Linked DNA regions of Lonchura striata. The protein of the gene in region 2 binds, or shares a complex with, the protein of the main gene of each other region. Links are inferred from orthologs where the notes say so. Each region holds a gene or a part of one and is shown on either strand. Other genes may lie near its edges.

Evidence for each region.
Region 1: SF3B2 (region 2) and SF3B4 share a complex: the UniProt entries of both Homo sapiens proteins name them as parts of the SF3B subcomplex of the 17S U2 SnRNP complex. The link is inferred for Lonchura striata from reciprocal best matches to the Homo sapiens genes SF3B2 and SF3B4.
Region 3: SF3B2 (region 2) and DDX46 share a complex: the UniProt entries of both Homo sapiens proteins name them as parts of the 17S U2 SnRNP complex. The link is inferred for Lonchura striata from reciprocal best matches to the Homo sapiens genes SF3B2 and DDX46.
Region 4: SF3B2 (region 2) and SF3A2 share a complex: the UniProt entries of both Homo sapiens proteins name them as parts of the 17S U2 SnRNP complex. The link is inferred for Lonchura striata from reciprocal best matches to the Homo sapiens genes SF3B2 and SF3A2.

The regions. Positions count from the first base shown.
Region 1 is NC_134635.1:2,714,931-2,721,759, forward strand, and holds the start of SF3B4 (splicing factor 3B subunit 4), read right to left. Parts: upstream 3,014-6,829; 5' UTR 2,999-3,013; coding exon 2,965-2,998; intron 2,368-2,964; coding exon 2,239-2,367; intron 1,965-2,238; coding exon 1,422-1,964; intron 416-1,421; coding exon 221-415; intron 1-220. UniProt on the Homo sapiens protein: Component of the 17S U2 SnRNP complex of the spliceosome, a large ribonucleoprotein complex that removes introns from transcribed pre-mRNAs.
Region 2 is NC_134638.1:660,573-668,074, reverse strand, and holds the start of SF3B2 (splicing factor 3B subunit 2), read left to right. Parts: upstream 1-4,500; 5' UTR 4,501-4,509; coding exon 4,510-4,654; intron 4,655-5,560; coding exon 5,561-5,607; intron 5,608-6,249; coding exon 6,250-6,346; intron 6,347-6,868; coding exon 6,869-7,044; intron 7,045-7,502. Other genes in the region: putative RNA-binding protein EIF1AD, read right to left, coding at 612-720, 2,134-2,242, 3,673-3,759. UniProt on the Homo sapiens protein: Component of the 17S U2 SnRNP complex of the spliceosome, a large ribonucleoprotein complex that removes introns from transcribed pre-mRNAs.
Region 3 is NC_134617.1:9,331,701-9,338,861, reverse strand, and holds the start of DDX46 (putative ATP-dependent RNA helicase DDX46), read left to right. Parts: upstream 1-4,152; 5' UTR 4,153-4,230; coding exon 4,231-4,247; intron 4,248-6,453; coding exon 6,454-6,636; intron 6,637-6,914; coding exon 6,915-7,055; intron 7,056-7,161. Other genes in the region: guided entry of tail-anchored proteins factor CAMLG, read left to right, coding at 309-374, 2,090-2,281. UniProt on the Homo sapiens protein: Component of the 17S U2 SnRNP complex of the spliceosome, a large ribonucleoprotein complex that removes introns from transcribed pre-mRNAs.
Region 4 is NC_134630.1:2,944,595-2,952,608, forward strand, and holds the start of SF3A2 (splicing factor 3A subunit 2), read left to right. Parts: upstream 1-4,998; 5' UTR 4,999-5,108; intron 5,109-5,799; exon of another isoform or gene 5,800-5,819; intron 5,820-6,829; 5' UTR 6,830-6,872; coding exon 6,873-6,998; intron 6,999-8,014. Other genes in the region: PLEKHJ1 (pleckstrin homology domain-containing family J member 1), read right to left, coding at 1-30, 433-496, 680-770, 2,450-2,516, 3,489-3,556, 4,610-4,703. UniProt on the Homo sapiens protein: Component of the 17S U2 SnRNP complex of the spliceosome, a large ribonucleoprotein complex that removes introns from transcribed pre-mRNAs.

The DNA.
Region 1 (6,829 bases), on a different chromosome or scaffold from region 2:
AGGTCCAGCAGGAAGTGGGAGGAAAGGAGAGGTGGAGGGAAGACAAAAAGAGGAGATCCTGATCCATGTCCCCTCCCAGCTCCTCCCTGTCCCCTCCCAGCTCCTCCTGGACCCTCCCAGCTCCTCCCGGTCTCCTCCCAGCTCCTCCCGGTCCCATTCCACCTCCTCCCGGTCCCTTCCAGCTTCTCCCGGTCCCTCCCAGCCCCTCCCAGCCCCGTACCTGGGTGGTGCATCCCTCCCGGAGGGAAGGGGTGCGGGTGAGGGGGGTGTCCCCCGGCGGGGGCGGCTCCCGAGGGCGGTCCCGGGGCTCCGGCGCCCGGGGGCATCGGCGGCGGGGGCATGGCCGGGGGCATCCCCGGGGGCAGCGCTCCCGGCGGCGGCACCGGCGGAGGGAAGGAGCCGGGGGGAGGCAGGCCTGGCACAGAGGGAAATCACAGAATTCACTGAATTATCAGAGATGGAACTTCGAGATCATCAAATCCAAGCCAGCCCCAATGCCTCAGCTCAACCATGGCACTCAGTGGCATTTTTTAAACACCTCCAGGGATGGTGACTCCACCACCTCCCCAGGCAGCCACTCCAGAACTTTATCACTCTTTCTGTAAAAAATCTTTTCCTGATATCCAGCCTGTACTTCCCTTCAGGCAGATTGAGACCGTAACCTCTCGTTCTGTCAGTTGCTGAAGAAAAGAGACCAAGCCCACCTGACTCCAACCATTTTACAAGTTGTAAAGTGATGGGGTCACTCCCGAGTCTCCTTTTCTCCAGACTGAACATCCCCAACTCCCTCAGTTGTTCCTCACAGGGTTTGTGTTCCCAGCCCCTCTCCATACCATACAGGTGTGGGGCACACTGATGGAGAGTGAGCCAAGAGAAAAAAAAACCCAAAATTTGGGAAAGAGCCCTGCCCCATAAAGGTGCTGGAAAATGAGCCAGGAGGAAAAAATACCCTAAATTTGGGAAAGAGCCCTGCCTCATACAGGTGCTGGAAAGTGGGCCAGGAGGAAAAAAAAACCCTAAAATTTGGGAAAAAGCCCCACCCTATACAGGTGCTAGAAAATGGGCCAGTAGGGAAAAAACCCAAAATTTGGAAAAGAGCCCTGCCCCATAGATGTGCTGGAAAGTGAGCCAAGAGGGAAAAAATTCCTAAAAATCTGGGAAAAAGCCCCACCCCATACAGAGGCTGGAAAATGAGCCAGGAGGAAAAAAACCCATAAAAATGTGGGAAAGAGCCCTGCCTCATAAAGATGCTGGAAAATAGGCCAGGAGGAAAAAAAACCAAAAAATCGGGGAAAGAGCCCCACCCCATACACATGCTGGAAAATGGGCCAGGAGGAAAAAAAAACCCTAAAAATTTAGGAAAGAGGCGGGGATCGCGCGCCAGCACCTCGAGCCCCGCCCCGGGCAGCCGTGGCACCCACCTGGCGGGGTGACGCCGGGCCCCAGCGCGGTGACCACGGGCGCGGGCACCGAGGGCGGCGGCGGCGCGTCGGCGAAGAGCTGGTGGGGCCGGTCGGCCTGGGACAGGGGGTTCTGGGCCGCCAGCAGCCGCTCGGCCGCCGAGCCGTGCCGCTCGCCCTTGGAGTCCTTCTTGAAGGCGTAGGACACGGTGATGGGCCGGTTGCACAGGTACTGCCCGTTCATGGCCTCGATGGCGGCGTCGGAGGCGTCGAAGCTGGCGAAGTTGATGAAGGCGTAACCCTTGGAGTTGCCCGTGTCGGGGTCCCTCATGATCTTGGGGGTCTGCAGGATGACCCCGAAGGCGCTGAAGGTGTCGTAGAGGAGCTTCTCGTCGATCTCGGGGTCCAGGTTGCCGATGAAGATGTTGGCGCCCACGTCCAGGTTCTTGTTGTGGGCCGAGGCCTTGTTCACCCGGATGGGTTTGCCGTAGAGCTTGATCATGTTCATGATCTTGATGGCGTAGTCGGCGTCCTCCTCGCTCAGGAACTCCACGAAGCCGTAGCCTGGGGGATCCCAAAGGAGCTCAGGGGTGGGGCAAGACCCCTAAATGACTTCAGGGCACAAAGCCACTCCCCACACCCCGATTTAAAACTCCAGCTCGTTAAAAACCCCATGTAATTATCGACTGAAACCCCCTTGGTTTTATTGTATACCACCTCATACTCGATTCAATCCCCACTTCATGCAAACCAACACCTCCTGAGGGACAGAGGATGATCCCCCCCTCTCCCACACCACAATCCCACCCCCCTCGTTGCCGTTTTGGGGGTCCCTCACCCTGGTGCTGGCCCGTGACCCGGTCCTTGGGCATGTGCGTGTTGACCACCGGCCCGGCCTGCAGGAAGAGCTCCCAGAGCAGGGGCTCGCTGACCTTCTCGTCCAGGCCCCCCACGTACACCGTGGCATCTGCGAGGAACGGGGCTCAGCGCCGGGACCCCGCCACCCCCCGCGCTCAGAGTCACCCAAAACCCTCCCCTCAAAACCCTCCGGTCAAAACCCTCCGGCCAAAACCCTTCCCTCAAAACCCTCCCGTCAAAATCCTCCACTCAAAAGTCTCTATTCAAAATCCTCCCCTCAAAACCCCCCCATCAAAATCCTCCCCGCAAAACCCTCCGGTCAAAATCGTCCCCTCAAAACCCTCCGGTCAAGATCCTCCTCTCAAAACCTTCAGCCAAAACCCTTCCCTCAAAACCCTCCACTCAAAATCACTCCACTCAAAACCCTCCAGCCAAAACCCCCACAAACCCCAATCTCTCCTCGCCACCCTTAATCCAGGAGCCCCACAGCCTCTTTTTCCTTTGGGAAAAACCCCAGCCCACCGTGGCCTCGGAGCTCCGCCTGCTCCTCCCTCCGTATCCCCCCGCGGCCCAAAACCCCCTCCAGCGCTTCCAAGGACTCCCCACTCCCCACAGAGCCCTCGCCAGCACCCCGCACGGCCCCGGTGCACTCAGGCGTCCCCAGAGCGCTGCCCCGGTGCCCCCGGGCCGCTGCCGCCGCTCCCACCCTGGTTCCTCTCCGAGATCGGCCCCGCCGCCATCTTGCCCCGCTCCGCGCGCGCGGCGCCGCACGCACGCACGCACGCACGCCGCGCGTGACGTCAAGGCGCGAGCCCGGCGTTGGCGGGAAGCGCCGTCGTGAGGGGAAGGCGCGGCCGCCATCTTGGGTGCGGGCAGGGACCGCCGCGCTTCGTTCTGTCGCGACAGGACCCCTTCTGTCGCGACATGGCCTTTCTCTCCCGACACGGCCAGCAGTGCCCTCAGTGCCCCATGATCCCAGCGGCGCGGAGGTCCCAGGTGTGCGCTCCCGCAGCGTCCCCATCCCATCCCCATCGCTGAGCTCCCGGAGCCTCATGGAGGCAGCACAGATTTAATGGGGGACCGAGAGCCCGCAGCGCCCGTGCAGCAGCGGGGGCACCTCGGGAGCCGCCGCTCGCCCTTCCCGGCACCGCCGAGCAAGCGGAGGCGGCGGGAGCAGCTGGAGCAGCTCTCTGCTGAGAGCCCCCGAGCGGGGCTGGGCTGGCTCGGGTGCCCCCGGCTCTCAGTGCGGCCTCCGCAGGGTCCAGGTGTGGAGACGGTCCTGGAGCAGCTGCAGCTCCTCAGCCAGCCCGGCCAGCGATGGGGCCAAGCGCCCGCGCTGCAGAGAGAGCGGCCGGCACGGCGTGGGGACAAGGACACGGGGAGCAGGACATGGAGAGGTGCAGTGTTCATCATGGGACAGGGACACGAGGATGGGAACACGGGGCAGGATGTTCAGCACAGGATGGGAACATGGACGAGATGGGATGGATGGACATGGGGTCCATCTGTCCATCCATCATCCATCCATCCATCCATCATTCATCATCCATCCGTCCATCCATCCCTCCACCCCCATGGACACACAGACACCAGCTGCACACAAACTGGCTCCATCCTCCCCCCCAGCCAGACTGGGACCCCCCCCAAACCACCACCCCCAGTCTCCAGCCCTCCCCCGTGCCTCAGTTTCCCCAGTACCTGTTCCTGGGGCAGCCCCCTGAGGTAGCAGCGGTGCCAGAGGCGGACGCAGGGCCCGGCGGTGCAGGGCAGGAGCAGCCCCGGGGTGGGCTGGCAGGTCCCCAGGAGCCCCCCCTGTGTCCCCTGGCTGTCCGAGGGGGACCCCCGCAATGGGGGGCGCAGGGGGGGGCGGCTCCACCAGGGCAGGGGGTGAGGGCACAAGGAGCCCTTGGCCAGCGTCAGCACCAGGCTGGCACCCCGCCACGGGCAGGGGTCTGCGGGCTGGCAAAGGGGGAGCGGGGATTAGGGAAAATCAAAAAGGGGTGAAAGGAAAATGGGGGAGGAAAAGCGGGGTGAAAAAACAGGATTTGGAAATAAAAGGGGATGAAAGAAAGAGGAAACGGAGGGGATAAAAATAGGGATTAAGGGAAAAAGGGAAGCAAAGGAAGGGTGCAGCCCCCCCCAGGCCAGCCATACTCACCGTGCTGGGGGTCCGGGACTCAGCAGGGCCCGGGGGTCCCGCGGGGTTCTGGAACTGCTCCCGCTGCTGCCGGGTGTAGCGCCGGCCCCAGGCCCACACCGGGGGAAAGCTGCAGGGCTGGGGGCCTCCCCTGTGTCCCCCAGGGTCCTGCCAGCCCCCCATGGGTCGGTAGATCTGGCTGGGGAGCCGCGGCTGTGGGGGAAGTGGTTGGGAAGTCAGTCCCCTCTTTGGGATGGGGAAACTGAGGCACGGAGCCGGGGGGAAAAAAGGGGTAAAATGGGAGATCTGGGGGTGCCCGTCCCCAGTTTGGGAATGGGGATGGAGAAGGGGTGAGATGGGAGAGTTTGGGGGTGCAGCAATGCCCCTCACCGTGCCGCTGTGGCCCTGCTGGCGTTGGCAGCTGAAGCGGAAAGTGCTGAAGTAGGGGCTGAAGCTGCTGTCGTGGAGCGCCAGGAGAAAAGCCTCAGTGAAGCCAAAATCCGCCGGGAATTGCCACAGGAGCTGCCAGGTGCAGTCCAGGAACAGCAGGAACACGGGGGCCTGGGGGGGATTCGGGATTGGGGGGGGGGCTCACCCCTCACAGGCAGGTCCCAGCTCCTGTCACCCCACTGGGACAGCAATGGGGGTCTCACCTCCTCCCGAGGGCTGTCCCAGCTCCTGTCACCCCGTTGGGACAGCAATGGGGGTCTCACCTCCTCCCGAGGGCTGTCCCAGCTCCTGTCACCCCACTGGGACAGCAATGGGGGTCTCACCTCCTCCCGAGGGCTGTCCCAGCTCCTGTCACCCCGCTGGGACAGCAATGGGGGTCTCACCTCCTCCCGAGGGCTGTCCCAGCTCCTGTCACCCCGCTGGGGCAGCAATGGGGGTCTCACCTCCTCCCGAGGGCTGTCCCAGCTCCTGTCACCCCGCTGGGGCAGCAATGGGGGTCTCACCTCCTCCCGAGGGCTGTCCCAGCTCCTGTCACCCCGCTGGGGCAGCAATGGGGGTCTCACCTCCTCCCGAGGGCTGTCCCAGCTTCTGTCACCCCACTGGGACAGCAATGGGGGTCTCACCTCCTCCCGAGGGCTGTCCTGGCAGAGCAGCCCCAGCCGGCGTGGGAAGGGGTGCCCGGCTGCCACCCACTCCCGCTGCACCAGGCTCTGGAAGCCAGGCAGGGAGCGGGCGTGGGGGTCCCCCAGGAGCTGCACCAGAGAGGCCACCAGGCAGTTCAGGTCCCGGTCCGAGGGCTCTGGGGGGGCAATGTGGTGATGATGGGGGTCCCCTTTCCAGCCCCCTCCTGTCCTTTTCCAGCCCCACACCTTGCAGAACCACGGAGCAGCGCTTCCCTGCCAGCAGCGACGCCACCTCCACTGCTTTTCTCAGGCAGGAGCTGGGGGGCAAAAGCAGGGCTTCAGGGCACCCCAAAATGTCACTGTCACCCCTTTGGGTGGCTCATGCACCCACCACAATGCCCCCACTGCCCCACAGTGCCAGGTGGGCTGGGGGCGGACATTCCACCATGGGATTTATGGTGAATTTTCCCCAAAATACCACCCTACACCCCAAAGACCCCCTGCTCACCGGACGTGGTCCAACCAGCGTGTCCCCTCCAGGGCCGAGAGCCACTTCTCCTCTGCCACCGCGCCTGGATCCCACGGGAGGGAGTTTCAATGGGGGGTTCCCAGCTCCCCAGGGGGAGTTTGGGGGTCCTCGGGGTCCGCCCAGTGCCACTCACCAGGCAGGCAGAGCTCCCGCAGCCTCAGGTGGGCGAGCTGGATGTCGGCCAGCGTGGGCAGCTCGGCCGTGTCAGCCAACACGCAGGGCCCGCGGTCCCCCAGCAGCAGCGCCTCCAGGCACCTGGGGGGCACAGGGAGCCCCGGGTGGGGCCAGGTTGGGGGGCACAGGGAGCCCCGGGTGGGGACAGGTTGGGGGGCACAGGGAACCCCAAGAGGGGACAGGTTGGGGGGCACAGGGAACCCCAAGAGGGGCCTGGCCAGGGGCACCCTCAGCCCCCCACCCCGGGGCCCCCTGGCACCCACCTCACATCCTCGCTGCCTGGCTCCGAGGCCCGGTGAAAGCTGGCAGCTCTCAGCAGGTCCCCTCCACCCGGGTGGTGCCAGCACAGGCGCTGCAAAAAAATCGGGGTGACACCCCCACATCCCCTCCCAGTGCCCCCCACCCTGCCCAGGCACTCACAGGCACCCGTCGCTCCTGAAAGTGGCCAAAAGTTCGCTTGAGGTCGTGGTCCAGAAGCCCACTGGGCACCCAGAGGTACTGGGGGAGGCTGTGGGAAGGTGGGACACGGGTGGGGTCCCCCAAATCTCGGGTGCCATTTCCAGTGGCTCAGACAGTGCTGGGGACCCCCGGGGCTGTACCTCGGGGCCATGTCGAAGCGCTCATTGACGGCGCTCACCCTCCAGCCCGCAGCGCCCAG
Region 2 (7,502 bases):
TTGGGGGGTATCTTAGGGTATGTTTGGGTTTGGGGGGTATCTTAGGATATTTTTTGATTTTTTTTTGTTGGTTTTTTGGGGCAGTTTAGGGGTATTTTGGGGGTATTATTGGGGTATTTTGGGGGTATTTTAGAGATTTGGGGGTATTTTGGGTTTGGGTGGCTATTTTGGGGCAGTTATGGTGTATTTTTGGGTGTATTTTGGGGTATGTTTGGGTTTGGGTGGCTATTTTTGGGTTTTGGGGGGTATCTTAGGGTATGTTTGAGTTTTGGGGGGGTTTTGGGGGCAGTTTAGGGATATTTTGGGGGTATTATTGGGGTATTTTTGGGTTTGGGTGTATTTTGGGTTTGGGTGGCTATTTCTGGGTTTTGGGGGGTATCTTAGGGTACGTTTGGGTTTGGGGGTTTTTTTTGGGTTTTGGGGGGTATCTCAGGGTACGTTTGGGTTTGGGGGGGTTTTTTGGGTTTTGGGGGGTACCTTAGGGTACGTTTGGGTTTGGGGGGGTTTTTTGGGTTTTGGGGGGTACCTTAGGGTACGTTTGGGTTTTGGGGGGGTTTTTTGGGTTTTGGGGGGGTTTTTTGGGGTAGTTTTGGGGTATTTCGGGGCCGTACCAGAGCCCCTGGCGCTGCAGCGAGCGCACGTGGGCCGGGAGCAGCACCAGGGAAATCTCGGCTTTGACCTTGGAGCCCTCCAGGATGGGATCCACGAGCAGGAAATCGCCTGGGGGGACACGGGGGTCACCCGGGGGTCACCCAGGGGTCACCCGGGGGTCACCCGGGGGTCACCCAGGGGTCACCCGGGGGTCACCCAGGGGTCACGGGGTCACAGGAGTGGCCTGGGGACAGACGCAGGGACAGCGCCCGGGGTGGGGAGGGGCAGCAGGGGACAGTGGGGGAGGGCGGGTGACGGTGACAAAGTGACAAAGAGCCGGCGGCAGCGCCCTGGTGACGGTGGCGCGGTGACAGCCAGAGGGTGACGATGGCGCGGTGACACAGAACAGCCTGGGGACAGTGACAGGGAGGCAGTGCCAGTGCCCCGGTGACAGTGACAAAGTGACAGTGACACGAGACAGCGGCAGGGTGACAATGGCAGGGTGACAATGACAGGGTGACAATGGCAGGGTGACAATGGCACAGTGACAATGACAGGGTGACAGTGATAGGGTGACACAGTGACACTGACAGGGTGACAATAGCACAGTGACTATGACAGGGTGACACAGTGACAGGGAGGCAGTGCCAGTGCCCCGGTGACAGTGACAAAGTGACAGTGACACGAGACAGCGACAGGGTGACGATGGCAGGGTGACAATGGCACAGTGACAATGACAGGGTGACAGTGATAGGGTGACACAGTGATGCTGACAGGGTGACAATGACAGGGTGACAGTGACAGGGTGAAAATGGCAGGGTGACAATGGCAGGGTTACACAGTGATGGTGACGGTGACAGTGATAGGGTGACACAGTGACGCTGACAGGGTGACAATGACAGGGTGACAGTGGCAAGGTGACAATGGCAGGGTGACAATGGCAGGGTTACACAGTGATGCTGACAGGGTGACAGTGATAGGGTGACACAGTGACACTGACAGGGTGACAATAGCACAGTGACAATGGCAGGGTGACACAGTGACACTGACAGGGTGACAATAGCACAGTGACAATGACAGGGTGACACAGTGACAGTGACAGGGAGGCAGTGCCAGTGCCCTGGTGACAGTGACAAAGTGACAGTGACACGAGACAGCGACAGGGTGACAATGGCAGGGTGACACAGTGACGCTGACAGGGTGACGACAACACAGTGACGCTGACAGAGTGACACTGACAGAGTGACAATGACAGGGTGACAGTGACGGGTGACAGTGGCAGGGTGACAGTGATAGGGTGACACAGTGACGCTAACAGGGTGACAATGGCACAGTGACAATGACAGGATGGGAGAAACGGTGACACAGTCACAGTGACAGGGTGACAATGGCAGGGTGACACAGTGACAGGGTGGCGGTGTCACCTCTCTTGATCCAGATGTGCCGCCGGAAGCGCGGTGGCAGTGACAGGGTGACAATAGCACAGTGACAGGGTGGCAGTGACAGGGTGACACAGTGACAGTGACAGGGTGGCGGTGTCACCTCTCTTGATCCAGATGTGCCGCCGGAAGCGCGGTGGCATGCTGGCCAGGAACCGTGTCCCCTCCGCCGTCTCCACCTCGTGCAGGTTGTTCCCCGGTGTCCCCAACACCTGCGGGGACACTCAGTGTCCCCTCCATGTCCCCAGTGTCCCTCAATGTCCCAAATGTCCCCCCAAATCCCCCCGATGTCCCCAATCCCCCCAATGTCCCTGGTGTCCCACCGGTGTCCCCAGTGTCCCAAATATCCCCCCAATGTCCCTGGTGTCCCACCGGTGTCCTAAGTGTCCCCAGTCCCCCCCGATGTCCCTGCGGTGTCCCCAGTGTCCCCCATGTCCCCAGGGTCTCCAACGTCCCCGAAGTGTCCCCAGGGTCCCAAATGTCCCCCCAATCCCCCTGATGTTCCCAATCCCTTAATGTCCCCAGTGTCCCCCATGTCCCCAGTCTCCAACGTCCCCGCAGTGTCCCCCATGTCCCCAGTGTCCCCGCTGTCCCCGCAGTGTCCCCATGTCCCCGGTCTCCCCGGTGTCCCCGCAGTGTCCCCCATGTCCCCAGTGTCCCCGGTGTCCCCCATGTCCCCGGTGTCCCCGCAGTGTCCCCGCTGTCCCCGCTGTCCCCGCAGTGTCCCCATGTCCCCGCAGTGTCCCCATGTCCCCGCAGTGTCCCCAATGTCCCCGCTGTCCCCGCAGTGTCCCCGCTGTCCCCGATGTCCCCGCAGTGTCCCCAATGTCCCCGATGTCCCCGCAGTGTCCCCGCTGTCCCCGATGTCCCCGCAGTGTCCCCAATGTCCCCGCTGTCCCCGCAGTGTCCCCATGTCCCCGGTGTCCCCGCAGTGTCCCCCATGTCCCCCATGTCCCCGCAGTGTCCCCGCAGTGTCCCCCATGTCCCCAGTGTCCCCGCAGTGTCCCCGCAGTGTCCCCGCTGTCCCCATGTCCCCGCTGTCCCCGCAGTGTCCCCGCAGTGTCCCCGCTGTCCCCGCTGTCCCCATGTCCCCGCTGTCCCCATGTCCCCGCTGTCCCCATGTCCCCGCTGTCCCCGCAGTGTCCCCGCTGTCCCCCATGTCCCCGCAGTGTCCCCGCTGTCCCCAGTGTCCCCGCAGTGTCCCCGCTGTCCCCCATGTCCCCGCAGTGTCCCCGCTGTCCCCGCAGTGTCCCCATGTCCCCGCAGTGTCCCCATGTCCCCAATGTCCCCGCTGTCCCCGCAGTGTCCCCATGTCCCCGCTGTCCCCGCAGTGTCCCCGCAGTGTCCCCGCTGTCCCCGCTGTCCCCGCAGTGTCCCCGCTGTCCCCCATGTCCCCGCAGTGTCCCCATGTCCCCGCTGTCCCCAGTGTCCCCATGTCCCCAATGTCCCCGGTGTCCCCATGTCCCCGCTGTCCCCGCAGTGTCCCCGCTGTCCCCATGTCCCCGCTGTCCCCGCTGTCCCCGCTGTCCCCGCTGTCCCCGCAGTGTCCCCGCTGTCCCCGCAGTGTCCCCGCTGTCCCCGCTGTCCCCAGTGTCCCCGCTGTCCCCGCTGTCCCCGGTGTCCCCGCTGTCCCCGCTCTCACCCTGACCACGCTCTGGCCCTCCGCGGGCTGCACGCGCTCCTCCAGCAGCTCCCGCACCACGTGCTTCCGCTTGGTGGCGCGCGACATCGCGGGGCTGGGGGGACACGGGGGGGGCTCAGGGACCCCCGGCGGGGGGGGAGGGGCGGGGGGGGAGCCCCGGGACCCCCCGGGACCCCCCGGGACCCGCCCGGCCCCGCCCCCACCGAGCGGCGCCCGCTCACCTGCGGCAGCACTTCCGGGTAGAGCGGCGGCGGTGACGTCACTTCCGAGAAGGAAGGCGGAAGCTGAGGCGGCCACGCCCCTCTAGAGGCGGGGTCTAATACTGAGCCCGCCCAAAAGGGGGCGGGGCCTAAACGGAACCACGCGGTGATAAATTAATGGCCGCGTTTGGGGCGTGGCCAGGCCAGAGGGCGGGGCTTCATCTGCATAATGAGCGCGGTTATGCAAATGATGGGCTGGATCACCGAGGGGCTCACGCAAACCAGCTGAAATCCTGGCGTGATGCAAATGAGCGCGGGTTGGGGGCGGTGCTATGCAAATAGGTGTGAACGAATGCAGGTGGTGTGGGCGGAGCTATGCAAATGAGGGTCTGGGATGTGGGGCAGGGGCTTGGCGGGGCCATGCTAATGAGCAGGGCTAGCGAATCCTGTGACGTCACTCCAGCACCGCTCATGCCAGCATCGTTTCCGTGACGTCACCCTCGCCGCCGTGACGTCACCCTCCCCGTTACCCCAATACCCGCGCACGCCCCGCCCTTTTCACCCCGTGACGTCATCACGCGCGGCGCCGCGCTCTCTGATTGGCTGCGACGCTCGCGGCGGCGGCGGCGGGGCCAAGATGGCGGCGGAGCGCGCGGAGGCGGCGGCGGCCGGGCCCGGGGAGCCCCTCAGGGACCCCCGAGCCCCCGAGCGCTCCCCCTACGCCGGATGGGCCCACCCCGAGCTCCAGGCCACGCTCGCCGGCATCGGAGCCCCCGCGCAGGGTGCGGGGAGCGGGGGCGAGCCGTGAGGGGAGCGGGAGCCGTGAGGGGAGCGGGACCTGAGGGGAATGGGAGCCGTGAGGGGAACGGGAGGAGCCGTGAGGGGAACGGGAGCCGTGAGGGGATTTGGGGGAAAAGATCTGAATGGGAAACTGAGCGGGTGTCGGAGTCACCTGAGGGGATTTGGGAGAGATGTGAAGGGAAGGAGGAAATTTGGGGGTTAGTTGAGGGGAGATCTGAGGGGTAGCAGGGAAATTTGGGGGTTTCAGGGTTCACCTGAGGGGATTTGGGGGAGGTGTGAGGGGAAGGAGGAAATTTGGGGGTTTTGGGGTCACTTGAGGGGAAGAGAGGAAATTGGGGGGTTTTAGGGTTCACCTGAGGGGATTTGGTGGAGGTGTGAGGGGAAGGAGGAAATTTGGGGGTTACTTGAGGGGAGGTCAGAGGGGTAGGAGGAAAAATTTTTGGGGTCATTTGAGGGAAGATCAGAGGGGTAGGAGGGACATTTTTGGGGTTTTGAGGTTACTTGAGGGGAGGTCTGAGGGGAAATTGGCTGGGTCGGGGTCACCTGAGGGGATTTGGGAGAGGTGTGAGGGGATGGGGAAAATTTGGGGTCACTTGAGGGGACATTTGTGGGGTAGGAGGGAAATTTGGGGGTTTTGGGGTCACTTGAGGGGAGATCTGAGGGGAAGGGGGAAGATTTTGGGGTCACCTGTGGGGATTTGGGGGATTTTTGGGGTTCCCTGGGGGGATTTGAGAGTCCTGAGGGAGGTCAGGAGTCCCTGGGGGAATTTTGGGGGTCCCTGGGGTGGGAAATTCTTGGGGTTCCTTGGGGGGACAGAGGAACGTGGGGGGGGTTGGGGTTTGTGGGGCAGAATTTGGGGATCCCTGAACCCCCCCAATCCCCCCCAGGGACCCGGGAGGAGCTGCTGGAGCGGCTCCAGGCCTACACCCTGCAGGTGAGACCCCCAAAACGGTGGGACCCCAAATTCTCCCCCCTCCTTGTGTCCCTTAAAGGAGGGGGACTCGTTTTTGGGGGGTCTGTTGTGATTTTGAGGGGATTTCATGGGATTATGGAGGGATTTATTGTGATTTTGGGGGGGCTTAATTGGATTTTGGGGGAATTTAATGGAATTTTGAGGGGGCTCATGGCAGTTTTGGAGGATGTAATGTGATTTTTGGGGGGTTTAATGTGGTTTTGAGGGGGTGGGAGGGGATTTTTGGTGGATTTAATGTGATTTTAGGGTTGTTTATTTTGATTTTGGGGTGGTATAATGTGATTTTTTAGGTGTCCTAATGGGACTTTGGGGAGCTTAATAGGATTTGGGGGAGTTTAATGAGATTTTGAGTGGGTTTACTCTGATTTTGGGGGGTTTAATGAGATTTTGGGTGGGTTTACTCTGATTTTGGGGGGTTTAATGAGATTTTGGGTGGGTTTACTCTGATTTTGGGGGGTTTAATGTGCTTTTGGGGGCATTTATTCCATTTTTGGGGGGGTGAGAGAGCTCCTGCTGTCCCTGCCCTCCCAGAAGGGGGGTCCCCATGTCCTCTCGAGTGTGGGGGCTCATGGGAACCCCCCCAAAATTTGTGCTCCCCCCCAGACTGGGATCGTGCTGAGCCGCCCTGCTCTGCGCCCCGAGGAGGGGGACAAGGCCCCGCCCCCCCAGGTGGGATTTTGGGGGATCTGGGGGGGGTTTGGTGGGGGCAGGAACCCCCCAGGGTCTGGTTTGGAGGGAGGGGGGGTTGGGGGCACCCCCAGGACCCCCAGTTTGGGGTGGGGGGGGGGGGGGGCAATCCACGGGTTATTTTGGGGGGGTTTAAGATCCATCAGAGCTCCACATTTTTGGGATGGGGGGGGTCAATGACATTCAATTTTGGGGTGGAGGGGCTCAAAATCTTCCAGACCCCCCAAATTTGAGGTGGGGGGGAGCAATGACACCCAGTTATGGGGTGGAGGGAGGGTTAAAACCCACCCAGACCCCCCAAATTTAGGAGGGGGAGCAATAACACCCAGTTTTGGGGTGGAGGGAGGGTTAAAACCCACCCAAACCCCCCAAATTTGAGGCATTTGTGGTTTTAAATTTCGGGGTGGGGGTGATCAGGGGATTCAGACCCCTCCCACCACTGAATCCCGGGGGATGAAATTTTGGGGTGGGGGTGTCCCAGGTGACCCTGACCCCTCCTCCCCCTCCCCAGCTGCCCCCAGCGCTGCCCCTGCAGCACCCCCTGGTGCCGCCCCCTCCCCCCCCGGGCCTGGGGCTCACTTTCGGTCTGGGGGGGCCCGTGGGGGGGGTCCCGGTGCCGCCCCCGCCCCCCCCGGGGGGCTCTCCGAGGAGGAGCGGCTGACGCTGGCCCAGCAGCAGGCGGCCCTGCTGCTGCAGGAGGAGAGGGCACAGGTTTGGGGGGAATTTTGGGGGGTGGGGGGCACGGGGGTGTGGGGTTTGGGGGGGATTTTGGGGGTTAAAGGGGCCCTGCTGCTGCAGGAGGAGAGGGCACAGGTCTGGGGGGAATTTTGGGGGGTGGGGGGCACGGGGGTGTGGGTTTGGGGGGGTTAAAGGGGGTCTGGGGGGGGTTAAAGGGGCCCTGCTGCTGCAGGAGGAGAGGGCACAGGTCTGGGGGGAATTTTGGGGGGTGGGGGGCACGGGGGTGTGGGTTTGGGGGGGTTAAAGGGGCCCTGCTGCTGCAGAAGGAGAGGGCACAGGTCTGGGGGACACGGGGGTGTGGGATTTCGGGGGGATTTTGGGGGGGTTAAAGGGGCCCTGCTGCTGCAGGAGGAGCGGGCACAGGTTTGGGGGGAATTTTGGGGGGTGGGGGGCATGGGGGTGTGGGGTTTGGGGGGGATTTTGGGGGTTAA
Region 3 (7,161 bases), on a different chromosome or scaffold from region 2:
AGAACAAAAGCACAGAGGTGTGATGCAGCTGCAGCCATACAGCTCCTGGATCCCTGGGCTCAGTTTTGCACTTTGCTGTTCTCTTCTGCCATTTCAGTTCTTTTGGCTCAATGAATATTAGGCAGAACCTTATTTTTGGCATGTAACTTGTCTACTTAGATTTTTAGTATTCAAGAACAACTTTGCTCTGTTCCACAAATTAATTTTTACCTAATAATTTTCTTTTCTGCTTTGGAAGCATTAAATCTTTGTGTTTCTTAGCTATTCTGACCAAGTTAATTTTTATATATTCTTTTCTGTTCCTTCAGTCAATATTTGCACCGTTTCTTACTCTACAACTTGCTTACATGGGACTGTCCAAGTACTTTCCAAAGGTAATTTTTTTTTCAGAATTAGATTAATTTGAGGTGTTTTAAGTTTAAACTTGTATTTAGATTGTATTTTAGGACCGATGCATGTGAAGTATTCTTCCCTTGTTTTAAACTGTATAGTTGAATGACCAGCGCTGATAGTTTATACTAGTTTTTAATCTTTCCAGATTTAGTCCAGGATATTTTTAAAAGCTGCAGTGAAAACTAGCAGCTTGTGTAGCTGTAGCCTAATTCAAAGTGTTTGACCAGGAAATCCAGGTAGTTCTTTCATGTCTTCAGGAAACTTGCTTTTCTTCTAGACCATGCCCTTCCCCGGTTATTATTTGTTTTGCTAAACAGCTGTTCTGCATATAATATCCCAATGAAATCTGGGAGAGTGTTGTTAAAAAATGAGGCAGAATGTTGAGTTTTTTCCACTGCTGGTATTGGTTTAAATGACAGCTTGAAATGAGACATTTATCTGTGTGTGAAACTTGCTGCTTATTAGCAAGATTTGCTATACCACTTGCTTTATATATTTACAACAAGTAATTGTTCCTTAAGCATTTGTTAGGTTGATGATTTTGTCAGTTCTGTGGTGCAGAGTGGGATTGAATGATGTTCAATCCACAGTTAAAAGGGAAAATTTGCATTTTAAAAGGAATAATAGATTACTTGTAGAAAATCAGAATAAATCAGCAGTTGTTTTGTAGTTAAGCATATCATAATAGTCATTCTAAGCTGATGTGTCACAACACAAAACAGTAAGATTAGCCTTAGATTTGCACCAGCTCATCTGGTACATCACCTTGATCTTGTTTCTTGTGTACTTAAAATCCACCCTTCAGTTTCAGAATTCAAGAGGTGGCTCCTTTCCACAATTTGCTTTTACTGCAGTTAGACGTGGGTGGGTGAGGTCAATCCCTTTGTTAACCTTCATTTTTCTCCCATGAAACACAGAAATATTCAGAAAGCCTAATTTAGATTGGATTAAATTAAAATATCCAGCAATTATCATCAAATTATTAGAATTTTCAGCTACTATCACCTTTTCCTGCATGTCAGACTTGCATCCTTGGGATTCCTCATCTTAAGGATGGAACAGCTTTCAAAAGTTTGGAGCATTTCTGAGTTCAGAGGATAAAACTACCAAAGTAAGTTGTTCTAAAACAGAAAAGTTGGTTTTCAACTCTAAATAATTTTTTTCTTAGAAAACTTAACAATATTTCTGGGGTTTTGAGCAACCTGGTCTAGTGGAAGGTGTCTCATAACAGGGGGTTGGAATGAGATGAGCATTAAGGTCCTTTCCAACTCAAACCATTCTGGGATTCTGTTTTTTGCTGAATAGTGGAATGGATTAATCGAGTTCTGACAGTGGAGATGCCAGGCTTGGCTCCTTACACCTAGATTTCCCTTGTCTGGGAATGTTCCCACTCATGCAGGAGCAGCTGCCCAGCCTCACATCTCAGCCTGCTGGGAGAAGTAGTGTGAAGGAGGCAGAATATCCAGGATGAATTTTATCTGCTGTTAGCCAGCCTGTCACTGGTAGATCCATCACAGCAGGAATCTGTGTCTCGGATAAGTGCTGTGACTCCTGGAGTGTGTCTGGACAGGATCAATGCAAACCTGCTACTCTGACAACGCATTTGGAACGTGTGAAATTAGCACAACATCGGTGACATGTAAAGCAGAATTGGATTAGGAGAACTAACATGATATTGGTTTTCTTTCCCTTCTAGTGTGAGAAGAAGGTGAAAACAACAGTACTGACTGCTGCTCTTCTCCTCTCTGGAATCCCTGCAGAAGTGATCAGTCGCTCCATGGACACCTACAGCAAAATGGGAGATGTTTTCACAGACCTTTGTGTCTATTTCTTTACTTTTATCTTTTGCCATGAACTTATTTTGGTTTTTGGCTCTGAAGTACCATGATGACTGTAGAATTCCACACAGTAGCTACACTAAAGCTTTCTGTTCCTTTTAACATTTGACTGTGCAGGCAGGTCTAAACCTTCATTAAAATTCTTACCTGTTAGAATGCTTGAAAGGGGCCTTAAATCCAATAATTTTGGGAAAGGGAGAGCAGGGTCCCAGACTGCCAGTTGTGTTGGTTCAGTTTATTTAAATACTGTGTCTACATATTACAAATGTGAAGATTAGGATGCAAGTGACAGTGGATGATTTATTTGTTTTAGTTAGATGACACCCTTCTCAGCCTCCTTCATAAACATTTACAAAGCTGCCTTTGTTCTTTTCAGTGAGAACAAGAAAAGAATTCCCTCCAGCAGAACCATATATATGTGTATATCCTGTATGACTATAGCTAACAAGACCTGCTCATTTTTTGGTGTTCCCATTTTTTACAGAAAGCTCTAAAGAAAAGAAATCCCTGTATTCTTTTCAAATGTTCAAGTTCAGAATGTTAAACCAAGTAGCTGCTTTCTGGAGAATGTTGGTGAAACTTGCCACTTAGTTGTTCTTATCCCTGCCTTGCCATATTTTACTTGTTGTGATTGTGATTAACTTAATTTGATTGTTGTGGAAAAGAGCTGGGCAAAACCAACAACAAGAAGGTCTTGGTGCTTATAAAGGTCATTATTCAAAAAGTAAGAAAAAATAGAACTAACCACATCTGTTTATGAGTTTCCAGCAACCTAATCCTAGTGCAGCTCACACCTGTACTGATACTTTTTTTTTTATGTTACCAGTTGTCTCATGAGAATTTTACATATTGGCACCCAGCCTGCAGTATCAAATCTTTGCTCTAGTGTTTGTAAAACTTACAAGGGATACAGTTTTGTTTTCAATCTCTTAGGAATTTTGCACAGTGAGAGGAAGTGTCATTCCAAATAGTCAATTTAAACACTGATAATCTCTGAAAATCTCTGTTGAAGCGAAATTTGGTAGTGTTTTCAGCTTGTAGTTTTCTTTTTAAAGTCTGGACTTTCAGGTAGTATAGGCTGTTGCCTATTTTTAGCATAGTAAACTACATATTTAACTTGGTATTTGCCTGCAGAGGTTCTTTTAGGGCGCAGATGTGTTTAATTGTATCTCTCTAAATGGCCCAGCTTTCAGTTGATTATTTTTTGTTAAAGCTTCCTCCTGCAATTTTAGTGATGCTTTCTTGACTTTTAAATTAGAGACATGTTTGTGGCCTGAATACAAGAACCTTATGTTTTGATTTGACCATTTTCATGGGGTTTTTTTAAACTGGTTCTGTTATGGTGAGTATTATATTACAGATATAAAGGGCTGGGTTGCAGAAAATTCTGACTTAGGTTTTTCAGCAAAGGTATTGATTCAGCAACTTTAAATTTATTTATATTAGATAGTAATTTCAGAAAACTGAAATTACAGTAATTTAAGATAAAGTTGAGATACATAAATAATGAGTTTACTTAAAAATTACTTGTTCTGATTCTCTATTTATATGCCCAAATGTAATACAAATAAATTGGAAAAATCCCTACACCAGTACCTGTAAAAAGCTATGAATTTTAATCCTCACCATAAATTTTAATCAGATAAATACCCTTGCATGGGCAGAGCACCAGGAGGGGCTTGTGCTTAATTAAGAAACCTCGATGAAGAAACGGCGATCAAGAAACGACCTTAGACCAAGAAACCAATCTCTTTTATTCCGTTTTTAACTTACCTCTGCTGGTGTTCGTAGTTGTGTTTAACGTTTATTGCCGGAGCGATTGTTTTCTATTAAAAGCCTCTCGGTTACCCGCTTCCTCGGCGCTGTGCGCGGCTGGGCCGGGGCGGCGCTGCGCCCTCCGCCCGCCGGGGGGCGCCGGCGCGGCCGGAAGGGGCGGCGCTCCCGGGGCGCGCGCCGCGCGGGCGGGGAATGGCCGCCGCGTAGCGGGAGCGCCGCCGCCATGGGCCGCGAGTCCAGGTGAGGGAGCGGCGCCGCCGCCTCGCCCGCCCGGCGGCCGCGGCGCGCTCGGGGATCGGGCGGCGCGGCGCGGGGAGGCGGCCGTGAGGGGACAACGCGGCGCGGCTTTCCCGGGCGGCGGGCGCGCTGAGGCCGCGCGGCGCTTCGGGCCTGGCTGGGTCCGAGGTGCCACCAGCACCTCCGGCCTTCACGGGTTTGTTCCAAAATGTCATCGTTGCCCACGCAGAGGGGTTAGCTTGATTTGGATGGTTTTGTTCGTGTCTTTTGTGTTTATGGAGCAGTATATTTTGCGCTCTCCCAGTGATGTAAAGCCCTGATTAGGGTTGTAACCAGCTCGGCAGTAATGTGCCCTTGTGCTGCGTGTGACTCGGGCCGAACCTGTGCTCCAGATGATGCGGAGCTGCTCACACCTACCAGGCTTTAAAGCCATTCCACAATTTGCTAGTGCTGTCGGGCATATGCCTCTGTCTCGTAGTTTAATCAGATTTTTATGCTAAAGCTGACATGATAGTCCTCACATGCAGTTCTGCTACACTCTAATAGTTCCCAGGTCCATCACGGAGATTCACCCCAAGAAAGACAGATTACTTGAAATTTTAACAACCATCTTGGGCCCAAATTAGTGATCTATTGCAGAGCTAGGCACTCCCACAAACCTATCTAAATTAGTTCCAGATGAGCTGGGGCAGCAGTGGGTGGTACAGGGCTCTGTTACAGCCTTCTGAATTGAAAACCAGGCTCTGGCACTCCAGCCAGCAGGACTCAGTTGCTTATCACAATATAGCTTCTCTTCTGAAAATGACAGAGTCCTTCTATTTGGGCTAAAAATAATGCTAAAAGTGGGTTTAAACTTGTATTAATTTTCTATTTTAACGTACAAAAAGTTTTAAAAGTGAAGAAATGGTAAGAGAGTGAGAGTGAATGGTGGGTGGAGATGGGTGCATGTGTTAGGGTTGGTGTGAGGAAATGTTCCTCACACTGGGGCTTCTGGAACTTGAAATCATCTTTTTGTCTTTATTGCACACTATAGAGGAAGAAAAAATAAAAACAAAAGTAGTTCTCTAAAACTATAAGATTAGAAAGAGAGGATTTATAGAGCAGATCCCATGCCATTTTGAGATGGAGATGGAAAATCAAACAAAAGTCTCCATGCAGAAGGATGTTCTTTGCAGTCAGTTATCCTGCTGATAGGCAGGAGGATGTGGATATGTGCTACTGTACTAACTCCAAGTGCATGTGCTGCCTAAATATACCACATAACATAGACTAGATATAAATATACTGCTATTTTTAGAGCTGAACTATTTTAATACTACCATGCAAGTGACACAAAGAGTGGGGGGCTTCAAGTCTTGTCTTCTCTGCTTCTTCCTTCTTCTCAAGCATGACTATTGGGCTTGTCAGGAGAAAGGCTCTGTGAGTCTTGAGCCACAGGAGAGTGACAAAGGAATGATTCTGGCATGGTGTCTGAAAATCTGGGATTGGAGGAAGAGGAAATGGTCACAGTCACAGTCCCTCTGTGACTTCTACATTCAGTTGAAGAGTTTCCTAGAAAATTCCTTTCCCTGCTCTGCCCCACAGTGTGGTTAGGATAAGAGCATTAATGAGAGGAGGAAAGCAGACACCCATCTCCCTCACACCCCTCAATCTTGCTGACTTTCGACAGCTTCTGTTGTGATATTTGATATTACAGAATTTCTATTAATGTCAGCATGGTAAAGGCATTGACCACAGGTGTGTTACTTCCTTGAGGGTTTATGTTTCTTTAATTCCAGTCTGACAGCTTTCCCACTGAGCAGAAGTATAGTTCACCTACCTTATATGGGTAAACATTTATTGCATAAAAAGTAACAAAGAGCAGTTTTGTTTGTCTGAAAGGTTTTGAGATAGTTTCAAAGAGCCTTCAGATTTTCCTATATATTAAATGGAAATCAGTGGATTTCTGAAAAGGAAATTGTTCTTGATGTTCTGGTGTTCTCATGTGCTTATAATAATACTCTAAAACTAAAAGAAAAATAATGAGCAAATAATCCTTCTAATTTCAGCATCATTAAGAGTGTATATGTATATTATACATACAGTATGTATATTAATCAGTTTGCCAAGATGATTGGAGAAGTTTAGACATTTAAGAAGCCCAAGAATTTCAGATAATTATTCTGCCTGCTGCACATGGTTCTGGTGCTCACTCTGACCGTGCCCGCAGGCATTACCGGAAGCGCTCTGCGTCCCGGGGGCGCTCCGGGAGCCGTTCCCGGAGCCGTTCCCCGTCGGACAAGAGGAAGCGCGAGGACAGGCGCTCCCGGAGCCGGGACCGGGACCGCAGGCGGGAGAGGTCGCGCAGCAGGGACAAGAGAAGGTCTCGCTCGCGGGACAGGAAGCGTCAAAGGTACGACGGCAGCTCCAGTCAAGGCACTAAAAGTGCCTGTCCGCTGAATATTGATGTTCTCCCACTCCAGCTAGTTACTTTGCTGATGCCTGTGGTGGATTTCACAATGCTTAAGGCTTTTTCCTTATTTAATGCTTTCTGGCTTGCTGGTGCTGGAGTTTGTAAGTTCTTAGCGGTCTTGATGGTTGGTGGGTTCCTTTTATAACCTGTTCCTCAATAGAAGCATAAAGTTATGCTCTGAGTATATCCTAAGTAAAGACAATTTTGTTGCATGTCAGACGTTCAAGGAGCAGAGAAAGGGAACGGAGCCGAGAGAGGAGACGATCCCGGAGCCGAGACAGGAGGCGCTCAAGGAGCAGGAGTAGAGGGAGACGGTCGCGATCCTCCAGTCCAAGCAAGAACAGGAAAGCAGAAAACAGGTATTCTAGTGTTCTTAGCTTTAGAAATGTGTAAAAGCTTACTGCAGGTCGTTGTCTTTTAAATGTATCTTGATGAGGTTTTCAGATATAATTGAAAACAGCATAT
Region 4 (8,014 bases), on a different chromosome or scaffold from region 2:
CTCAGAGATCCCATACTGCTCCAGGGGGTCCTGTGGGGGAGCACAGGGAGGCACCAGTGAGATGCAGACAAAGCCCAGCAGCCCTTGGGACACACGGGACACAGCAGGGAGCCAAGGTCCAGGGGAGCCACAGTCACGTCCCTCCCTGGAGCAGGGGGTGAGCAGCATCTCCACCCATGGATCTGCCCAGGTGTGAACTGTTCCAGCTCTGCGCCTGTCCAGCTCCAAACCTTGGGCCACTCCAGCATCAGAGTGTGTATCAGAGTTAGGTGAGCACCCAGGAGAAGGTCTTCAGGTCTGGCTGTGGAGACCATGGCTCCCTATGGGATCTGGAATCTCCTTCCCACACACAGCCTGGGCAGGACTGGCAGCAACAGCCCCTGCTGCCAGCCAGAGCCATCAGCCACACCTGAGCTGCAGGGACTCACTCACCTTCCCTGTCATCTTCTGGATCTCGTTCCTGTAGAAAATCAGGCTCCTCCTCAGGAACTCGTAGCTGCAAGACAGGAACAGAGCACGGGAAGGGCTGAGCAGAGAAGGATGTGGGGAAGTTTCAGATGCTATTTCGAGCTGGAGGGAAGCTTGTCTGGGAGGAGACAAGCACTGCCCTCCCAGTTCCTGATCCCAGAACACAGCCCAGAGCCCCCAGCACTGCCCTGGCTCCGAGGGCTCAGCCCACCTGGCTCTCTTGAGTGCCTCAACCCACTCCTGGCACTGCTCCTCCGTGGCACACTCAAAGCAGTATTTCCTCTCTGGCTCCTCGATGAAACCTGCCAGGGACAAGGAAAAGGCTCCAGGCAGGTCCTGGCAGAGCTGCTGGTGCTCCCCAGACTCTGCCAGGCCACAATTAGCAGCTCTGTTAACGAAGATGAGGTGGGAATGAGTCTGCAGCCCCCACCTCCAGCCCCTCTCCCATTGCCTGGGTGGCTCTGGGTGCCTGGGGCAGCTGCCCACAGCATTTCCCAGCTTACAGCAGCCAGAGACCTTGGGAAGAGCAGCTTCCCAAACTGAGGGTGAATTGAACTGGACCACACGGCCAGATCCAGGACTGACTCCCTGAGGCCCCTTGCAAAGACACCAGGAATTTAAATCCAAGTGGGAACAGCCCTGAGAGAGGAACTGGGATACCTGCAGGGAGCAGCCAACAGAGGAGTTAAACTGCACTGGGAGAAGGCCCTGAGCTGCCTTTGCTGGAAGCTTTTGGGAACGTGGTATTCACATGGTACTCCCACCATGGAGAGCAGGTCCTGGTGCCACTCCAGTTCTTGACCAGGACAGAGCCAGGACATGCCACCAGTTCCTGTCCCCAAAGCTCTGCTGAGCAGACCCTCAGGGCTGCTGCTGCCAAGCACCTGGGTCAGGCTGCACCAGCACCTCGGGATGGGCTGTGGACACATCCCAACACCAGGTACCGCTGGGTTTAACCCTGCTCAGGAATCCTCCTCCACCAGAGCTCCCAAAATCCCTAAAGCCCCAAAATCCAGCACATGGTGCTCCAGGCTCAGTGTGTTCAGGCAGTTTGTGGGTCCTTTGGAAGCACAGAGCAGAACCACAGCTGTGCCTGGCAGCCAGGCCAAAAGATACAGGGATGGCCTTGGAGAAACATCCTGTTATTGTGGCCACATACCTCTGGCAGAGGGGAGAGCTGCGGGATGAAAGGCTGCTCCCAGGGGAGCTGGCCCAGCTGCCGCTGCACAAGGACGCACAGAGGGGAGGATGGGGCTGGAGCAGCTTTATCTGAGCCTCTCTAGGGTGTTTTTTGGATAAAATGCAGCAGCACAGAGCAGATCTGTCAATAACCAAGCTCCCCCTGCCAGAGATTCCACAGGCAGGCAGTGGGGCCTGGCTGCTCTTAGTGCTGCTCTGCACGTGCAGCTGTGCAAGTCCCTCAGGCTGTGCCATGGAATATCCCTGAGCTTTCCTCGGGATGGCCACAGGCACAGTGAGGAACAGCTGGCACCTGAGGAGGGGAAAGGTTGAGGAATTGGTAAAGTTGGAAATGGCCTTTAAGACCATCAAGTCCAACCATCAGCTCAGCACCACCAGGTTCACCACTCACCCCTGTCCCCAGGTGCCACATCCACAGATCTCCTGAACACTCCCAGGGATGGGGACTCCACCACTGCCCTGGGCAGTCCGTGCCAGTACTTCCAAACCTTTTTGGTGAGTAAATTTTCCCCAGTATCCAATCTAAACCTGTCCTGGGCACAACTGGAGGACATTTCTTCTTGTCTTGTCCTCTGTTCCCTGGGAGCAGAGCCTGACCCCCACCTGAAGGGCCCTGACCCCACTGAGGGAGAGGAGAAGGGCTGGGGGCAGTGACCCCACTGAGGAGGGGAAGGGCTGAGCTGACCCCACTGCACCAGGGAAACAGGGGAAAGCAGAACTGAGCATTCAGCATTCCCTTTCCCACCAGGGGAAGGCAAAGGGGTGCACAGGCAGCACTCACTGATGGAGAAGACGTTCTCCTCCTCTTTGGTGATCTTGCAGTGCTCCAGCAGCAGAGCTCCAATGGGCTGAAAACACATGGAGAGAAGGTTTAACCCACAGGGGCCCCAACACCACGAGGGCTCAACCCACGGTACTTCCCTGGAGCCTTTTAAGCAACTTTCACAAGCTGGTGCTGCTTTTGAATAATTCATTCTGATTGCACCATATTTCATGTTCCTTTAATCACCTTTTCATGCCAGTCTCACCTGCAACACTTTGCATTTGTTAATTAGGTGTCAATCATCTCTACTGGCTCAGTTTCAGCCTGGTCTTAACCACTCTGTGATACCAGAGAAAAACATTTGCTTTTAAAATCAAAGATGAAACATTTACTGTGACACCCAGAATAACCAACACTGAGCTATGCAAGGGCTGTCCTGGAGCCTTGCAAGTGTGAGCAGAGCTGCAGCAGCTGAGGATGACCAAAAAACCACCTGGTACTACTCAGGGACACGGGGACAGCAGGTGACATTGGCCATGAACAAAAGCAACCACAAGAAATCCTTGTCCAAGTGAACCAACATGTCAGAAGCAAATCAGGCAGCAGGGAAGGGATTGCAGACCTGATTTATCTTGCATTTCATACAACTCTTTGGGTTGGAAGAGATCTCAAAGCCCATCCAGTGCCACTCCTGCCATGGCAGGGACACCTTCCACCATCCCAGGCTGCTCCAAGCCCTGTCCAGCCTGGCCTTGGGCACTGCCAGGGATCCAGGGTGGGCACCCTGTGCCAGGGCCTGCCCACCCTGCCAGGAACAATTCCTGCCCAATCTCCCATCCAGCCCTGCCCTCTGGCACTGGGAGCCATTCCCTGTGTCCTGTCCCTCCAGGCCTTGTCCCCAGTCCCTCTCCAGCTCTCCTGGAGCCCTGCTGAACTGATGGAAGGTGGACCCTGCTCCAGCTCTGCCATGCACCATTTTCCCAGCCCACACAATCCAGGCATAGAAAAAGAAGAAAGGAGGAGGGGAACAAACCCCACGCAGAGGCCCAATCCCTACCTCAGCCTCATCGGTGCGGAAGTAGAAGAGAAAGTTCACCACGAGCTTCACCAGGCGCTTCTTCAGCACTGCAGGGGCACAAGGGAGCAGGGCAGGGCTGAGGCAGGGGCACGGGGAGCAGGGGAGCCCTGCCCACCCTGCCAGGGCCCAGCGTGGCGCTGACCCCACCAAGGCACCCCCCGAGGCTGCTCCCTCAGGGTGACAGTGTCTGAGTGGCCTCAGGGTGACAAAGCCCCTGAGCAGCTCCCGGGCAGTCAGAGCTCACAGCAGCAGCACCACGGGGCTCCAGGCACTCCAGGAAAAGCTCCGGATCCTGGGAGCCCTGCCTGGAGCTGCCAGCACGGGCGTCACCCCCACGGGACAAAGTCCAGCAGGTGCTCAGAGGACGAAAGGCTCAGGACAAGGGAGTGAGCACAACACTGCTTGTTTGCAGGGGAATTTTCTAGGAGATTTCAGGGAAGACCTTCTTCCCCAGATCCCCTGGAAATGGGGGATCTCCCTGGCCCCAGCCCAGCCCCAGAACCTCCCTGCACGCCCATACTGGAGCCCAGCACTCGTGCTCCCCACTGCCACACTCCAGCCCTCCCAGCCTGCCTGTCCCCAGCCCTGCCTCCCAGCACTCCCAGTCCTGCCCTGGTTTCCCAGCCTGGATTCTCCAGTACCCTCAATCCTCCCACCCAGCTCCCCCAGACCCTCTCCAGCCTCTTCCCCCAGCAGCTCCAGTTCTGATTCTGCAGTCGGGGCCCCTCAAGTACCCTCAGCCCTTCCCTGGTCCTACCCCAGTTTCCCACTCGTGATTCTCCAGTTCCCCCAGCCCCACCACCCACGGCACCTTCCCAGTCCCTCCCAGTATCCCCAGTCCCGACTCTGCCCCCCAGGTACCGCCGGTCCTGTCCCACCTTCCCCTGCCTCCCCCAGCACTCCCAGTTCGCCCAGTCCCGGCTCGGAGCCGCCCCAGTTTCCCCAGTATCCTCAGCCCCACCGCCGCAGCTCCCCTCGCACACCGCTCCCGCTGTCCCAGCCCTGCCTCCCCGCTCGGGGCCCCTCAGGCAGCGCCGATCCCCCCGCGCTCCCGCCCCGGTACCCCAGCCCCGGCTGCGCCCCGCGCGGATCCCGCTCACCGCTGCCCTTCTTGGGGACACTCATGCGGATCTCGGCCGCTTTCTCGGCCGGCTGCCGGGCCAGGGACAGCAGCTCCCGCTCGTTGTAGCGCATGGCGGGCCCCGGCCCCGGCCACGGCCCCGCCCGGGCCGCCCCAGCGCCGCCGGAAGCGCCCTCAGAGCGCCCGGAACGGCTCCGGGGCCGGAACGGCTTCGGAGCCCGGAACGGCCTCGGCGGGCCGGAACGGCTTCGGGGCCCGGAACGGCTTCAGAGCCCGGAACGGCTTCGGAGCCCGGAACGGCCTCGGCGGGCCCGGAACGGCTCCAGGGCCCGGAACGGCTTCGGGGCCGGAACGGCTTCGGGGCCCGGAACGGCTTCGGGGCCGGAACGGCTCCAGGGCCCGGAACGGCTTCGGCGGGCCCGGAACGGCTTCGGAGCCGGAACGGCCTCGGCGGGCCGGAAACACCGCGGAGCCGCGGGAGCGCGCAGGCGCCGGGGCGGGAGCGCGGCCGCGCGCAGGTTCGGAGCGGGGAGAGACCCTGAGGGGAGAGGGGGGAGAGGGGAGCTGAGGGGAGAGGGGCCATGAGGGGAGAGGGGGACTGAAGAGGGGCCGTGAGGGGAGAGGGGGAACTGAGGGGAGAGGGGGACTGAGGGGGAACGGGGCAGGACTGGGGGAACTGGGGAGTCGGGGCTGGGCAACTGGGAGTGCTGCGTGAGGAGAGACTGGGAGAGCTGGAAGAGAGGGACTGGGAATGCTGGGTATGGAGAGACTGGGAGAGCTGGGAAGCAGGAATTGAGAACTGGGTGAGGAAGGACTGGAGAGCTGGGAAAGGAGGGATTGCAAAAGCTGGGAGAGAAGAGACTGGGAGAACTGGGAAAGGAGGAACTGGAAATGCTGGGTGAGGAGGGACTGGAAAGCTGGGAAAGAGGGACTGGAAATGCTGGGTATGGAGAGACTGGGAGAGCTGGGTATGGAGAGATGTGGAATGCTGGGTGAAGGGGAATTGAGAGAACTGGGTGAGGAGGGACTGGGAGTGCTGGGTGAGGAGGATTCAGAGAACTGGGGGAGAAGAGACTGGGAGATCTGGGTATGGAGAGACTAGGAGAGCTTGGTGAGGAGGAATTGAGAGAACTGGGTGAAGAAGGACTGGGAGTTTGGAGTATGGAGAGACTTGGCATGCTGAGTGAGGAGGGACTGGAGAGCTGGGAAGGAGGGACTGGGAGAGCTGGGTAAGGAAGAATTGAGAGAACTGGGTGAGGAGGGACTGGGAGTGCTGGGTGGTCTGGGTGGTGAGGCTGGGGGAACTGGAGAATCACGAGTGGGAAACCAGGGTAGCACCAGGGCAGGATTTGGGTTACTGGGAGGATCAGCGGGGCAGGAACGGAGGCACCTGGAGGTTGCCGAATGCAGAACTGGGATGGAGCTACTGGAAAAGTACTGGGGAAACTGGGTGCCCTGGGTGGGAGGACTGGGGGTGCTGGAGAAACTGAGGGTGCTGGAAATGGAGGGACTAGGAGAACTGGGGTGGTGGGGCTGGGGGAGCTGGAGAATCACGAGTGGGAAACTGGGGTAGGGCCAGGGGAGTGTGGGGAGGATGGGGAAGAGCACCTGAGTGGGAGTCAGTGGGCCTTGACTGGCTGAATCAGGACTGAAGCTACAGGGGGATGTGGCTGGAGAGGGACTGGGGACGAGACACTGGAGAACTGGGTGCTCTGTGGGGAAGGATTTGGGGTTCCTCAAAGGTCTTTCCAGTGTTTGGGCTCCCTGTGGGGAGGTCTAGGCAGGGCTCTGACCTTGCTGAGGGCAGGGGGGACTCCAGGACCTCACCTGGGGCTTGGGGACATTGCTCAGAACCCCTGACCTTGTTGGGGGGCTTGGGGGGCTCTGACCCTCCCTTGGTGTTGGGGGTGGCCCTGGGGCTTTGGGGGTGGTGGGGGAGCATAGACCTGGTGGTGGTCAGGGAGGAGCTCTGGGGCTGTTGGTACCTCAGGTGAGGGGGGAAGGCTCCTCTGGTGGGGCCCAGCTGGGCTTGGAGTGGCTGAGGTGATGGGAAGGGCTCCGGGGGGATTTTCTGGATCCGTACTCGGCTTTCCCAGGTCGGTGGTGCCGGATGTGCTCCATGTGGGATTGCATCCCGTGCTGTGTGCCTGGGGCATGCCTGGGTGTCACCCCCACCCTCGCTGCTGCGGCTGAAGAGTCCTGTGGCTCAGTTGTCCCTGACACTCCTTCCTCTTGGCAGACTCCATTTCTCCAGGAGGAGCTGAAGCCCAGAAATCCCCAGCATGGATTTCCAGCACCGGCCCGGGGGTAAAACGGGCAGCGGGGGCGTGGCCTCGGCCTCCGAGAGCAACCGGGACCGGCGGGAGCGGCTGCGGCAGCTGGCCCTGGAGACCATCGACATCAACAAGGTGCAGGGGAGCCCCCGCAGCCCGGGGGACACCGGGCACAGTCACATTCATGGCATCCTGCAGTGCTTTGGGTTGAAGGGAGCATTAAAGCTCATCCAGGGACATCTCAGGTTTCTCCAAGCCCTGTCCAGCCTAGACTTGGACACTTCCAGGGATCCAGGGGCAGCCACAGCTGCTCTGGGAAATCCATGCCAGCTGCCCACCCTCACAGCCAAGAATTTTTCCCCAGTCTCCCATCTAAACCTACTCTTGGTCTCTTTGAAGCCATTTCCCTTTGTCCTGTCCTTCCAGGCCCTTTTCCAAAGTTTTCCTCTGTCGGTATAGGACACATGAAAGCATGACACAAGCTGCTACTATTGCAAAGGTGAAAAAGAAAGAGTTTATTTTCTGACTCCAGCATTTATACTTTTTTAAAGGTAACAGTGGATTGGAGGGTGCAAGTGCCACCTCTCCAATGACATTGGACAAACTACTAGTACATCAAGTTTCTCCACCTCTATGAAGGAATGCAGAACAATAAGTTGTTTACAGAAAGTTGTGTGAGAAAGTTCTCTAACAGAATGGAAACTCAGAAGGCTTTAGAAAATCTTAAGAATCAGGGCGACATTCCTCCAGTTCTCTTGGAGCCCCTTTAGGCTTTATGGTCACCCCAGAGCCTCCTTGTTTCCAGGCTGAGGTGTGGATTGGGTTTAAATACATCTGTTTCTGGGCATGTGGGGGTTGAATAAGGAATATTTAGGACAGAGTGACAAGGAGGTGCCAGCTCTTGTGTATCCATCTATTTCCAGTCTCCCCAGGGCTGGTTTGGGTTGTGGTGTTTCCTGCTACAGTTGGGAATTCTGTCACCACTGCACACATAGCTGCTGTTGGTTCTCTCTTGTTTCCTCCTCCTAAACCTCTCTTGTGCTGTTAATTTAAAATCTGAACTCAGCTACAGGATCCTAGGGTATCCTGAGCTGGGAGGGACCCTCAGGGATCATCAGTCCAGCTTCTGTCCCTGCACAGACCCCCCAACA